Caenorhabditis elegans: one gene and its partner. The protein of the gene in region 2 interacts with the protein of the main gene of each other region in a pairwise test. Each region holds a gene or a part of one and is shown on either strand. Other genes may lie near its edges.

The links. The genes of interacting proteins can lie anywhere in the genome.
Region 1: the proteins of vps-45 (region 2) and rabs-5 interact in a two-hybrid assay, tested with the Caenorhabditis elegans proteins (one study listed by BioGRID).

What each region holds. Positions count from the first base shown.
Region 1 is NC_003282.8:8,103,321-8,110,442, forward strand, and holds rabs-5 (FYVE-type domain-containing protein), read right to left. Parts: upstream 4,281-7,122; 5' UTR 4,279-4,280; coding exon 4,222-4,278; intron 3,846-4,221; coding exon 3,648-3,845; intron 3,603-3,647; coding exon 3,356-3,602; intron 2,983-3,355; coding exon 2,821-2,982; intron 2,732-2,820; coding exon 2,317-2,731; intron 2,267-2,316; coding exon 1,844-2,266; intron 1,357-1,843; coding exon 1,161-1,356; 3' UTR 1,005-1,160; downstream 1-1,004. Other genes in the region: Y42H9AR.5 (FMRF-Like Peptide), read left to right, coding at 443-615, 754-891; Y42H9AR.4 (ELM2 domain-containing protein), read right to left, coding at 4,980-5,180, 5,655-6,241, 6,621-6,704, 6,752-6,966.
Region 2 is NC_003284.9:969,205-977,148, reverse strand, and holds vps-45 (Vacuolar protein sorting-associated protein 45), read left to right. Parts: upstream 1-2,300; 5' UTR 2,301-2,396; coding exon 2,397-2,489; intron 2,490-2,880; coding exon 2,881-3,079; intron 3,080-3,126; coding exon 3,127-3,191; intron 3,192-3,365; coding exon 3,366-3,541; intron 3,542-4,111; coding exon 4,112-4,607; intron 4,608-4,654; coding exon 4,655-4,744; intron 4,745-5,265; coding exon 5,266-5,358; intron 5,359-5,407; coding exon 5,408-5,514; intron 5,515-5,865; coding exon 5,866-5,988; intron 5,989-6,034; coding exon 6,035-6,184; intron 6,185-6,373; coding exon 6,374-6,425; 3' UTR 6,426-6,566; downstream 6,567-7,944. Other genes in the region: Protein abhd-3.2, read left to right, coding at 1-207, 258-431, 720-867, 916-982, 1,246-1,409; C44C1.6 (Neuropeptide-Like Protein), read left to right, coding at 7,008-7,110, 7,770-7,918.

The DNA.
Region 1 (7,122 bases), on a different chromosome or scaffold from region 2:
CGCCATTTCGTAGAACCGTTTTTTCTCTGTTTTCAGTGACAAGTTTTGATAAGTTAAATGAATGATACAACAACAATTCCAATGAACATTTTTTTCCGTCTTCTGATCATTGCATCGAGAAACTGAAAAACCAAAGAATCGGTTTCGGTTCAAATACTCATCGATAAACGTACAAAGTCTCATCTCATCATTTCAATCATTTCTTATCATCAAACCGATCTGTCATCGTAACTAGATTTATATTCAGAATCTGACATTTATGAAATGTTTTTGAAGCAGGAAGGGGTCACAGTCAATTGAAACGAATTTACACATTTACATTGGTTTTCGTACTAGTAGGACTTCCGCAAGTGGTGGTTTTAGCAGAATATCTTCAAAATAGGTCAAAAAGATAAAATTTTAAAATAAAATAAGTATGTATTAAGTATCAAATAAATTTCAGAATGTTCTTCATTGACTATGCAAGGATTGTATCGGAAGCTAAAGGAGCGTAGAACACAGACAAGACTTGGTCCATATCCAGATGAAGCCCGAATAGAATCTGATTCGATATCCAGAATTCATATTGAAGACAAAAGTTTTATACGCCCGATTGCGTCAGTTGCAGGAAGGCCGGTAAGTGAGGCCAATCCGAGCGTCTTCTAAAAGTCGCTTCAAAAAATTACTAACTAACTGTAAAACCATGCGTGAAATAAGTCAAAATTATATTTTGCAACATACTTATTTTTCGGTTTCTAATATTTCTTGTTCCAGGTAATTCCCCGTCGTTGGACATATGGCCAACAAATAAATGAAGTATTCATTGATGAAAACGGAATAGCCATTCCAGTGCGACCACAGCCCAGCTTAAACTCAATTCTCAGATCGAGAGGCCGTGGTGGACTCTATTAATATTCTTTTTCCTATTACTTTCCAATTGGTCTCATTTCGTCGTTTCGGGTCGTTATTATTCTATCATTTGAAATGCATACAATCATTCATGAATAAAATCTAACTACAATGTAAAATTTATTCAAAGATCAGAATATATTGCAAAATTGAAATTTCTAAAAAAGGAAACATTGAAGATCACAGATATTTAAAAAAATCATAAATATGCAAATAGAAAAATATTATATCACAGTTTGAATCGCGTGCTTTAAATTGACTGGATTGTATTATTAACATGAAAGTCCAAGACGCATCATCTCTTCTTCAATTTCCTTGAGATTTCTCTCCAAGATGTCCATCTCATCGAGTTTTCCTGTTGCTGATGCTTGAAATAAAAACTTCCGAAGTTGTTCTCGTTGCTCATACAAGGGATGATCCGTTTGTATTGTATCATCTTCGATTGAACTCGGCTCGAATACTCTGGAACTCAAAAGAAGCGATAAAATTTGGCGAATTCACTTCAAGAAAGGCGTAGCTATTACATGGGGTCGCAAAAACTTTTTTGAAATCGACGTAGAAACGCGCTTCACGGTCGTTTTAAAAAGCTTCGCCCCCGAAGCATGGGTCTCGTTAGGTATTCGGTGGCAAAACCGTAAATTCAAACTTTTCGTCTTTTCTTCATGTTTTAATGCTTTTTATGCCGAAATGATTTTTAAAAATAGTTACATGTGAAGATGAAAAGTGAATGAGGTTTTTTTTAAAAAATTTCAGGGTTTACGGTTTTACAGATACCTAACGAGACCCATGGTTCCGAGGCGGCGCGTTTCAAATTTGCTATGAAGCGAGTTTCCACGTCGATTTCAAAAGCGGATCTTTTTTCTGCGTACTCAAAATATTAGTTTTGCATATGGATATAAAAATATGCAAACAAACGTTCAGAATATGATTCTAAAAAATTTTTTTTTAAACTTACAGATCATTATCTTCCGCACTCCATCCATCGTCAATCGATGATGGGCCTCCAAATGAAGATACACTGCTTGTACTGTTTAAGTGTGAATGTTGTTCCTGTAGTTGTGGCATTGAACTTGACATCTTCATCACAGTTCTGTTTACTCTTGCAAAATCCTTAGCTCGTCTTTCTTTTCTTTTTATTATCAGATTCGAGCATTCTTCGGCTGTTGGTAGGGATTCCATTTGACCAATAAGACCTTGAAGAGCTTGGACTGCATATAATCGAATATTCTTTCTTAATTGTTGCTCTTTTGCAGAATTCGGTTTATCATTTGCTCCTTCCGCTATTTTCTTGCTAACATAATCTATACTCTTTTGAATTTCTAGACATTTCGATCGTAATTCTTCACCATGTTTATGACTATATACAGATTCACCATTTCTAAAAAGAATATTAATTACAAAAACTATTCAATTAAATTATAATCTTACTTCAAACTGGTGACAACTCGAACATAAGTTGGCACAAGATTCTTCACTTCCTCAATCATTACTTTCATTAGATCATATTGTTGTACAAATTCTGGCGGTTCTTTTTTATCCATTTGACTTTCTCGGAAATGTAAATCTCGAAGGCATAGATTACAAACTCTCATATGTTCAGAAAGATCTTGTTCATTTAGTGCACCTGCTATAATTTCCTCTCCAGTTGCTGCAGAATGAACTTTTTGAACAGCTCCAGCCATTGCTCGTTTCATCTTATCCATCGATTTTTGAGATAACGAGAAAAATGATCTACGTCCATTTTCTTCCGGTTGTAGAAGTTCTTGTTCATTTTCTACAGTATTCGGCTCTTCAACAATTATATGGGTGTCCCCGAGAGGATTTGAAGAACTTGTGAGTGTTTCTGAAATTTATTTTATATATTGCAAACTATTCGACAAATCTCATTTTCTGATAACCCCTTGAAATTGAAATTTAAATAAAATGACTCACTTGCAGTGTCAAACGAAAGAAATTTGCTACACGAATGACAAAGAACCCTTCCACACAATCTACAGTGATGACGTCGTCTAGTGAGACCGAATCGAGAAGCACACAATGGACAACATACTGCTTCAGCATCATCTAACCATGGAACAACTTCTCGTTCAAATTCTGTTGGAAACGAGTGTATTGGATATTGTTATAAAAAACTTTTAGATTTTTAGTTATTTTGAGAACTATTGGAATATTGGATGTGTAACTTGGCAGAAGCAACCTTCTCGCGAGAAGCTTAATATGCTTTGAGTAGATTATCGGAAAAATTGAAAGTGGAAACTTTTCACATATTATTTTTTTTTGGATATTGAAACTAGTAAACCTTTTTCAAATGTGTTTTCAAATTGGAAAATTTTATAAGTGTTAAAAAAAAATTTTTTTTAGTGATGATTTTATTTAGTGATTTGATTACTTGGAAAATTCGGGAGAATTTTTAATAAAAAATATCGAAATTTTTTATCCATCAATTTTTTTAAAAGTGGTTTTATACCTTTTCTTTTAACTGGATCCTTATCCTTTGGTCCTCCATTAATAAGCCTATCAAGCCTGATAATAAGCATATTCGTTCGAACAGCCACTTCATTTATATTTAATTCTCTTGTTGATAAGAATTCTCTCGTTTTTGATCTCCGAGTTCCCGGTAAAATTTCATCAGGAGGAAGAGGTTTTGGAATTCTTGGAAGAGGTGCTCTTTCGACAAGCTTTTCAGTAGTTTCAGTGAATTCTGTTTCGACATTCTGAAATTTAAAATTGAATATTTTGTTATTTCAGCCAAAACTTACACTTGCGAGATCTGCGATACTTTTCTTCGCATCCAATTTCTGAATTCCTCGCTTAGCTTTATCAAAAAATCCCTTAACATTTGACACAAACATTCCAGCCAAATCACTGCTATCTTCTTCCGGATGATCATTTTCCACGTGGCAAATGAGTCGTTCGTATTCTCCAAAGTCTTCCATACAAAATGGACAGATGAAACCCTTTGAAAATTAGAAATATTAATGACTCTTCTTTTTTTTTAGTTTTTTAATTTCAGTTTTTCGAGTTTGCTATCCTTTTCACAATTTTTGTGATTTTGGCTCCAGAAATACGGTACCCGGTCTCGAGACGACAATCTTTGTTAAATACAAACAGTTGTGCGCCTTTAAAGAGTACTGTAATTCCTAAATTTTTATTCTGAGAAATTTTAATTAATTTTTTATAGTTTTTCGCTGATAATAAATATATTAAATTATTGAAAAAAAAAAAAAATTAAAAAGCATAACTTTAAAAAAATCTATGAAAATTCCGCAGCAATAAAATTTGAAATTACAGTACTCTTTTCACTTTTTTCAAACTAAATAAAACCCAACTAACCTGTCTAACCACATCATTATGTCCTCCTGTTCCACCTGAACCAGTTGCTCCAATCATTTCTGCCAAGAAAAAAAAAGCGAATTGGTGATATTTATTCAGAAGAGACGCAGACGGGACGACATAAAGTAGTCGTTCTCCTCCTCGTAAATGAATAAAATCGGCACTGCCACGTCAATAATAACAATGGCAGAAACCAAAAACAACTAGAAGAAGAGCAATCAATTATTTGTCAAACAATATTTATTGTTCAGATATGTTATGTGTAAGTGCTCAGTAAGAAATAAATTATGATATTTACAGAATTAGCAATTTTCAAAAATTCGTCGTTTATTGTGCTACCCAAAGACACTTTTTTTGAGAGCATCTCAATCGCAATAGAGCAGGACCGTCATTGAAGAATGTGCAATTTGGAAAATACATGAAAGAAATATAAATGGAAAAAGAAATAATGTTTGATGGTCTATGATATATGATTCGGTTTTTGATTTGAAATAATTGGGGGCTCAATTCAAGTTTTTTCGGATCTGTTTGGGAGGTGAGAGAGGAACACGAAAAGAAGGGACCCGGGTATAGAATAATAAAATAAATATTACAATCTTAATATTTTACACAAAAATGTTACTTTGGAGATCTCGTTTTGAAAAAAAGACATGTCGAAACAAAAAAATTAACAAAGCAAAATCATATGAAATTTTGAAAGAAAATGATTGGGTTTTTGACAGAAAAAATTGAAAATAAATTATTTTTGATATACACTATCAGGCATCAATACGTCTTCCAGCTGGCAAATGGTCACGATGCCAACGGAATTTCGGATGGCGACGATACATTTTACTGTAGTGGGTTCGAGCAAGATGATTACGTTTTCGGAGTGAATGTTTTAGTAGAATAGTTTCTGATATTCCAGGAAGTTTTCGATTCGGGAAGTCGCGATACATGTTGACACCAAGTTTGAATAACTGTAAATTATTTATTTTAAAAAATTTCAAATTATCTTAATTTTCGAGAAAACATTCAACAAAAAAATATGTGAAAATACGTTGTTGGTTTAATGCAAAAATAAGAATATTTAAAGAAATGTTCGGTTTTTTCGGTTTTTTTAAAGCAAGACTAAAAAATCGAAAAACTTAAAAACGAAAATTTTCGGTTATTCGAAAAATCTTCGGGTTTCTTTAGAAAAATATATTTCCATGCAGCAGGATGCAGCAAGAAACATCACGTTTTCTAACCGGGAACCATAATGTTTTTTTTTGATTTTCTGAAAAACCGAAAAATTTGCGTTCTCCGGTTAAAAGATCGGCAGCCCTGAGCTCATTAACCAAAAAAAATTATAATTTATTCAAAATTTTTATAATCTTTTTAAGTTCGCTAGTTCTTGAAAACTTCTAACGATTAAAATTTATAGTTAAATTTAAAAATAAAAAAAAACTTACATCATAATCGCCTCTTTTCAATTCATTAAACGTGTGGAAGAAAGCAAAATGAGCTTTAGCTCGTCGCCACGTTAACATGAAAAGAGCATTTTTAGCAGCCATTTCTTCTTTTAGATTCATTTGGAGATTTTGGAGTTCTTCTGCAAGTTCTCCAATCTCTTGATCTTCTGCATCATCTTTTCCTTCTTCACTCATTTCAACTTTTGTTGATACTCCAGCACTATTTCCATCTTCATAGTTTTCCTGTGTCATTTGCTCAAAGATATGAGCACTTGAATCAGGGAGAATACCTCCTGCAATTAATTTTGCAACTATTCGAGAACCAACTGCTTTCGCATCAAAATCTTCAATATCTGATGGCATTTCAATGTCCTCTGATCCATTTTCACTAAGTTTTCGTGTATTTGTTGTTGTTGCAGGTTTTGGTGTAGCACTGAAGTAACTTCTAATATCTCCATTTTTTCGTTTTGGTGATGTTGGTCCTTTAGAGTGTCCATTCACTCCGTTTGTTAACGAAGAATGCCCGTTTGCCATTTTTTCGTATTCATCATCCATTCTTTCTTTCTTCACTTGACGAGGAGAATGCACTGAAATTCAAAATATTCGAGTGACAAAAAATTATTTAAGCAACTTGGAATTTCGTTCAATTTTTTTAATTTTAAGAATAGTTTCAGATAAAAAAGTCAGAGAACATCGATATTTATTTTCAGAATCTTACTTTTTTACTACGTCAAAATTTGGAATTTCTTCAGTTTTCACTCGAAAGGAAAAATTTAGCATCGATCCCACAATCTTCATGATTTTAAAAAGGATCATAATTATTGATGAAGTAACGAAGTTTTATAGAGGAACAATTTAGAAAATCTCTTAAATAATTTCCGTGATATTTTTCAATTTTATGCTACAGATATATTTTCCGAATAAAATAGGTTTTATTGCAATAAATCATACATAAAAATCCCTTACATCTTGAAGAAGTTCCACGGTGTGAATGGCCATTACTATATTCAATTTCATCCTCAGATTCGGTGTCAATTTCGAGTTTGGCGCCTAAAATTAAAATTCAAAATTAACAATTCAAAACCATAAATTCTAACATTTTTTCTCTTTCGTAAACTCTGGACTCATCATTCGAGATTTTCCAGATCTTCGTGTAGTTGGAGTATCAGGAATACTTTTTCCATCTTTATATTCTTTGCAAGCTGTGTAAACCATTGACCCAATAATCGGCATGATTTTATTATTATTATTCGTCAGATCCTTGTCTTTTTCAGAATTTCGACGATTTGGAATACGATATCCGGCGAGTGAACTGAAATTATAAAATATTCAATCGAATGGTATACTTGAGTTAGTAAACCAAAAATATAAAACAAAATTTTAAAATATTGCAATTATTCTTTCTTTTTTTTTTCGATTTTTCAATTTTTTTCAGAGAAAATCCAACAATCTAAATATTGATCAAATC
Region 2 (7,944 bases):
CAGCTACGTTCTCCATCCTGTCAAAGAAGCAAGAGATAAGGGCTGGAAGTGTGTGGTCGTGAACCCACGAGGACTTGGTGGTGTTAAGCTGAGAACTACTAGGACGTACAATGCCGCCACTCCACATGATTTTGCGTTCATTGCTAAGATGATTAATGAAAGATATCCGGATGCAAAGAAGCTGGGATGCGGGTTTTCCATGGGAGGGTGAGTGTAGTTTAGGAGCTAAAAAGATTCAGCAACACGCTTATTTTCAGAATGATTCTCTGGAACTATCTAGCGATGACTGGAGAAAATGCAGATCTGGACGGAGGCATGATTGTTTCTTCTCCGTGGGATCCCCTTGTTGCTTCTGATTCTATTGAATGCTTTATTCCACAACTTATTTTCAACAGCTTTATTGCAAAGAACTTGGTAGATATGGTGAGACCGTAAGTTTTGATGTTTTTTCGTTTATATTAGTAAGGTGTTTATTTTTAATATTTTAAATCTGATGACTTTTAAACAACAAACGTAGTTGGTATAAAAAATTGGCATTGAGAAAATTTGAGGAGACATGAGCAGGCCCTGTGCTCAAAGAGCTGGCAAGCTTCTCATTAAGTGATTGGTTTTTGCGCGTTAATTTGAAGCAATTCCTTTACGCCCAAATTTTTAGTATTTCCTGCTAAGCTATTAATGAACCAAACCCCTGAGTTCATAAGTAGCTCCCACAATTCCAGGTACCGCGAGCTATTCAAAGATATGGTGGATTTTGACGAAGTGTGCAGATGCAATACGGTTAGAGGGTTTGATCGATCTTTTGTGATTCCCATGTATGGGTTCAAGAGTTGCGATGACTATTACAGACAGGCTACTTTGGCGACAAAGGTAACATTTGAAACTTGGTTTGTAAAAATTTGAAAAATCAATTTCCAGGTAGACAAAATCAAGATTCCATGTGTAACACTGAATTCTGTTGATGATTATTTCAGCCCGGTGGAATGTAAGTTTTGGTTTGAACAGCTTTGAAAACTAATGTTCATATACAAACATGAGTGCTTGCTACGTTTCTCTAGTTCATAATTAGACGTGTTTGCTCTACGGTAATAACAGCAACCGACACATTGCGGGTTGCAAAAAATTATAAAACGTGTGGAATTTTTATGAAATATATATTAAATATGTAATTGAAAAGCTAGTTTTCTAATTACATTTTTTAAACAAAATACCAAATTTAATAATTATTCATACATTTCCCCTATTTAGGCATCCCTACATTAGATATAATGGAGAGCGACTACGTTTGCGGTATTATCACCAATCACGGAGGACATACTGCTTTCATGGAGTCTGCTGATCCAAATGCGCGCGGAATGGTGGAAAAGTTGCTCTCGCAATGGGGAAATATGATCTTCCATGATTATTCATGAGCTTTGATGGATTGTGCAATGTTTTCAAATTATACGTATTATTTTTGTATTATTAGGACTATTACACTTTTTGAACAATATCAGGTTTTTCAGTACATCCCGGTTTTTTATTATTATTGTGATTTTAATTTAATTTTTTAAATGTGCAAAGAGTTAATGGTTGCAGATATGACTAGATGAAACTCTTTTTTTGTCAAATAAAAACTTCAAACACGAATTGAAAATAGTGTAAAATTAATATTTGGCTGCAGTTTCATGTGAACGAAAAATTGTGTTATGTCCTTCAAATTAGAACCAGCCACCTTGCATTGAATAGTCATAAATCTGTGAAGTTTGCGTTAAGCTGGAGCTTTGGTAAAACCCTACCATAAGTACAGGGAACAATTTTGAAAAGCTCTGATACGAGTTAATTATTTTAGTACCAGCCGTGGACCGCACCTACGGCGCGGCCCCCGACTTTTTTGAGAAAACACATTAGATATACGGTGTCTATCGCGGACCTCGATCGATGTCTGCTGCGCATTTAGCATAAGGTTTCCCAAAATTTCGTTGCTCTGATCGGAGATCAAACTACATAGGGACAGAAGGACACGCGCTTTATATATAGTAAATGATAATTGTTGTCCTAGTACATCACGCATACGGATAATAATTCTTATACATATTTCATAGACTTTTGTTCAGGACCAAGTTAGTATAATGAAAAATTGGAGAAGATTCAGTTTTCTTCAGATTTTCTCCGACAGAATGCAAATTCTCCTGCTCTACTTCTGCTCCACTTTTCCACTTTTTCCATCTTTCCTCACTCTCCACAGCCTTCCTCCGTCTACGTCTCCACTAGCCTAGCCATCTCTCAAAATCGATGCTGGCACTGGACACTCACCCGACGCGGTGACAGAGACGGCCGCGGCCTAGAGTTCTCCATTTCTTTTCTTTTACCATATGTTTTTATACACGTTGGCCACTAGCTCTTTCTACTAATCAACCATGGATCTCGTGCAGTCAAGCCGAAAATTGATACAGGACATGATCCAACTTGCCGGCTCGCAGATGAAATTACTACTTATGGATGGGGAAACAGTGAGTTGATTTGAAAGTGTAAAAATGTAATTATTCGGTTAGGAAAAATAATTAAAACTTGTGTCAAAAAGTTATACTAAAACGTAAATTAACAACACGTTTTGCAAATTTTTCAGTAACATTTATGTCTATTTTTGAATTACTTAATCTAACAAAATAATAAATAATAAATATAATAAACACTTAAAATATAGAGGAAATCCAAAAATGAGCAAAACGTATTGTATATTCACAATAGCCTAAATGTTTATTATGAATTTATATCAGCTATAGATTTTTAATAAAGTTAATGCTTAGATTAGTATGAAAAATCATATAAACATACAATTTTAAATGATGAGTAGTTTTTTCACACGTTTTCAAATAAAATCAACGCTAAATTTTTTTCCAGACTCCAACAGTGTCATGCGCATTTGCGCAGTCGGAGGTGATGCAAAAAGAAGTTTATATATTCGATAGAATTGAGAACAAGACCTCATCTGAAAACATCAAAAACTTGAAATGCGTGGTATTCGTCCGGCCGACACCCAAAAATATTGAGCGACTGGTGAAAGAGCTCCAGGAGCCAAGATTCAGCCAGTACTATCTTTGTGAGTTTACAGAAAAAATACTAGTTTTCAATGAATATGCTTTTCAGATTTTACAAACACAATCAACAAATATGATGTGAAGCGGCTGGCTGAAGCAGACAAAAATGAGACTGTAAGTAGTACTTTTTATTATGGACAGAACTAATTTTCAAGCTGCGTGATTAAATTATGAGAATCAGAAAAAGATTTATTGCTTTCCGACAATAACTTAACGATGCAAAAAACTTTTAAGCAATACTAATACGCTATAGGATATGTCAATAGTGTATTTTTCAACAAATTCCAGGTGCGTGAGGTTCAAGAAGTGTTTCTAGATGGAGTTCCTATTCGTAAAGACTTGTTCACTCTCAACTTGACACACATCTTCGACTCATCATTCACGTTGAAAGAAGAAGCCGCTGAAAGGATCAAGTGCGGAATTATTGCGCTATTGTTGCAGTTGAAAAAGGCTCCAGCTGTTCGGTGAGAGTTTTGAAATTTCTAATTTGAAAATTGGTAAAGGATTGCGGACATTGACCTTTTTTTTGAAATTTTGGTTATTTATTAGTCATGTTCATGCTTTTTTATAAAGGTATCTCAATTTAGAGAGTGTTCGCAGCTTTTAATTCTAAAGATTGATTCAATTTCTCTAAAACTGATCCCTAAAATATACGATTGAGAAAAAAAATTCATTCGTTTGTTTTTGTCTTTGGTCTACAAGTAGTATCCAATTGCGTGACTGCTTTTGTTTTTCGTCTTGTACCCAATTTCCTTGTTCTAAACAAAAAGAAGTCTTTACCCCAACAATACGATTGTATGATAAATTAATTTGCACATATACATACATATCATAACTATCGCGCAGCTGAAAATTGGCACTACATCGCTTGAGCAGAAGTGTGCTGCAATCAGAAATTTTTGGCAATGCTTGTAATTGTTAGACATAACACGCTGTAGTTTTGTTTTTATTGTAATCTGGGAGCTGCTACATGCGAAAAACTGTATGCAATTGTCACTACTTTGTTGCATACTTTTACAATGTTTTTTTTTCAGATACCAAAAGTCTTCACCGAGTTGCAAAAAAGTGGCCGATGATGTAGCACAATTCATTCGCCGGGAAAACGGGCTTTTCGAAAACTCTAGAGCTGACACCACTCTTCTGATTATTGAAAGATCCCAGGACGCGGTGACTCCTCTGCTCAACCAATGGACGTATGAAGCGATGATCCATGAAATGCTCACATTGACAAATAACAGATGCACATGTACTGATCAGAACATTGTGCTCAGCGAGCTTCACGATGAATTTTTTGCGAGAAATATTACTGCCAACTTTGGAGAAATCGGGCAAAATATCAAGACGTTGATCAGCGAGTTTCAGGAGAAAAAGCATATTAACAAGAATTTGGAGTCGATTCAGGATATGAAAAAGTTTGTGGAAGACTATCCACAGTTTAAGAAGATCAGTGGAACAGTGTCGAAACACGTCAGCCTTGTAGGCGAACTTAGTAATCTTGTTCAGAAGCATAATTTATTAGGAGTCTCAGAGGTAATACAGTTTAAAAAAACGTGTCAAAACGTAGAAAGTGGTTTCAGGTAGAGCAGGCAATTGTGTCAGATGGGGATCATGGCAAATGTATCAATCTTGTTCGAGGACTGCTGAAAAATACGAAAACCAGAGAAGTGGTGAGTAACAGTAACATACACCGCAAAAAAATCCGGAATGAACATTTTTAGATTCTGAATGCCAAAACAAACACGAGAAAATACTGAGATTTGTTATCGCAAATGACCAATTACCGTATTTCCTTTATTAGTCTTGCATGCAAAACTAATTTTCAATTGGTCCGTAGGGGTGCAAGACTAATAGAGGCTGCAAGACTAATAGATGAAATACGGTATATATTTTCGCCAACGTGGTGCTCAGGAAAGGATTTTGTTTCCTGTATCCTATAATTTTAAGTAAATTCATTAGCTACTTTAAAATTAGATACTACAGCTTCAACAAACTAGGAAAAATAGCTGGTCATTTAGTCAGTGCAAACATAAGTTTGGTCAGTGCATACGCAAATTTTTTTTTTCAAGGCACACAACACTGAAGTGTGTGCTATATTTTTAAAAAATTTATTTTGTTAAATGATACATAGAAGTATATAATTATATTTTTAATTGAATTTAGTTATCACGATCAGTACACCCATTTTCAGGACATCATCCGTCTTGTGCTTCTCTACGCTCTTCGTTTCGAAAACGCACCCGGCAACGAATTAAACTCATTGATCAGTCAACTCAGACCACAGGTAGGCAACTGGTGTATTCTGGGTTTAAAAAAATTTCATGCTTTTTCAGCATCCAAAAATCCATCAAACGGTGTCGACGCTGCTCAAATATGGTGGACTTTCAAGGAGACCTGCCGATTTGTTTGGTGGTGAATCGACTATTGACATTACGAAGAGGTGAGCAACAGTGAATCAGCGTAATCAAATATTTGGGCTGAAATCTGGGCTTAGTTTCGGTTGATTTGGCGGCTTCAGCAATTTCTGATTTGGTTCAATTTTATCCGTTACTAGTTGTCTAAATCAGAATTTCGAATTAATTTTTGTCTACAGTAAGCAAATTTAGCGATTAAAAACTGCTTTATTTATAAAAGAATTACAAATGAGTTTTGCAACAAAAAATATTAATTCATTTGACCAGAAATTTATTGACACCTCTAATAATTTGACAAAACTGACTGAACATTAGTAGCACTAAAGAAAGACTCAAGATTTACAAAAGGTACATGGTATTCTACCTATAATTTTCAGGTTCATCAAAGGACTCAAAGGAGTTGAGAACATTTACACCCAGCATTCGCCGTATCTCAAGAACATGATCGAGTCTTGCCAGCGTGGGAGGCTTGACAACTACCCGCTTCTTAGCAATGAATGGTAAGTTCTAGATCTACTATAATGCTTCAAGCTACTCAATTTTCAGCGACCGAATGGATAATATTATTGTGTTTATTGTGGGTGGAGCCACATATGAGGAGGCGGCTTATGTGAGAAGCTTGAATGAAAAGCGGATGCAAGGATACGGAGGGCCTGCTGTTGTTCTAGCTGGGAGTAGCATGCTAAATACAAAATCGTGAGTATACAGGCTTTAAAATGAAACCACGTCCCCGGTAAAAAATGTTTTGGCTAAGCGGGCAGACATTAAGCAGTAATTCTGTCGTTTTTCGATTAATGGGTATACTTAATGCTATAATACTAATTTCAATTGGCTATTGCATTTGTTATGGTTCTGTAGTGAATGGAAAATAAGTTAAATTTACAGATTCCTCGAAGAGTTTGCCAACGTCGACAAAAATACGGGAGCTGTTCACTGAATATCTCAAAAGTTTCAAAACTTCTCGCAGAGTCTATTTATTGATTTAATTGAATTGTCATCTTTTCTTGTGATATATTGAGCTTCTTTATGAAATTGCTTTTTTTAAAATGAATATGTACTGTGTACAGTGCCACCACTAACGGTCTCCCTATTGGCTCAGCCGCTGTTAAGCCGTGGAGAGGCCTACCGCTTGGCTTTTGAGTAAGTTGAAGCATGTTTGGAAGCTTTTTGATCAACCGAATTTACCAGAGGCATTTACAAAGAAACACTTTTTCAAAAATATTTCCTATACGTGAATTTATCATTTCAAAACCGTGTCGTTTTGAAAACCCAAACACACCCAAAAATAGTGTGTGTCCTTTGCCAATAGTGAATAACAGATATATGCGCTAATTTGCTAACCAAACTGGCGCCGTTTCGTTTATACTGTCAGTGAATTGTAGTGTTAGGTGGTGCGTGACTGGCTGACCAAGACAACAAAAATTCTTGATATCATTCGTCAAGAGAAACAAAACCTTAAAGCGAAACACCTTCGAAAAACCTTTTTAGTGTGATTTATCACTTGACTTCAACTTGAACAATGGACTACTACTTCAAACTTATCTCTGTAGTTTTTATCGTAATTTTGGCTATCCAATCGCAGGCTTTTCCCATTGAAGAGACTTCGCTAGGAAGTATTAATGGTACGTTTAATGCACTGCTACAGTTTTTGAAACCAACTTTGAGCATTGATCAAATTGCAAGCTTGCAATCAGCCCATGAAAACTGAGTGTTTTAAATTTTAGCCAAGCGGTTTGTGAAATTTTTTAACGTTCAGTGTAGAACGTGTCCCGCGCGAAATTTAATTTAGTTAGTGCGACATTTTTTTTGTGAGTGTAAAAATTAAATAGACATACACGAAATATTCTTGATAAGTGCAAAATTTGATTTGGTGAGTGCAAATTTTATCGGCAGCGCAGAGATTTTTGGTCAGTGCATAGATGATTTTTCGAATTAATGTGGAAGCCGTTTGACCGAAGCAAATTTTTGCTAGAGCATAATGTTAAGCCTTTTTGTTCATAGCATAATGTTCTAGGTTAGTGCAGAGGTTGGGAAGTACTATTTATTTTGTAGTGCAGTGATAAATTTGTGTCAGTTCTATTGGTTTCGTCAGTGCAGGGATTTAGCTTGGTCAGTGCAAATTTTCAACTCGGTCAGTGCCAATGTTTTTTATCAGTGTATTTGGATAATATCAATTTTGTCGTCTCAATCAAAACCAGGTTAAAAAAATGTACTCATGAAACTCAGACACCAGTCCCTCATTAACCCACGCAAAAAATTGAGTTTTTAAATGAGTTTTTAGGAACATCCGTCATCGCAATAACACATGGCAACTCGGAGCGCCTCAAAGAATTGATTCCATCAAAAAACACAGAGAATGATGATTTCAATCTGTTCGGAGGCATGGCTCTCGGAGTTCGAAAGTTCGGAATGGAGGATAAAGAGCGCTGATAGTTGCTCTGAATTGAAACAATTTG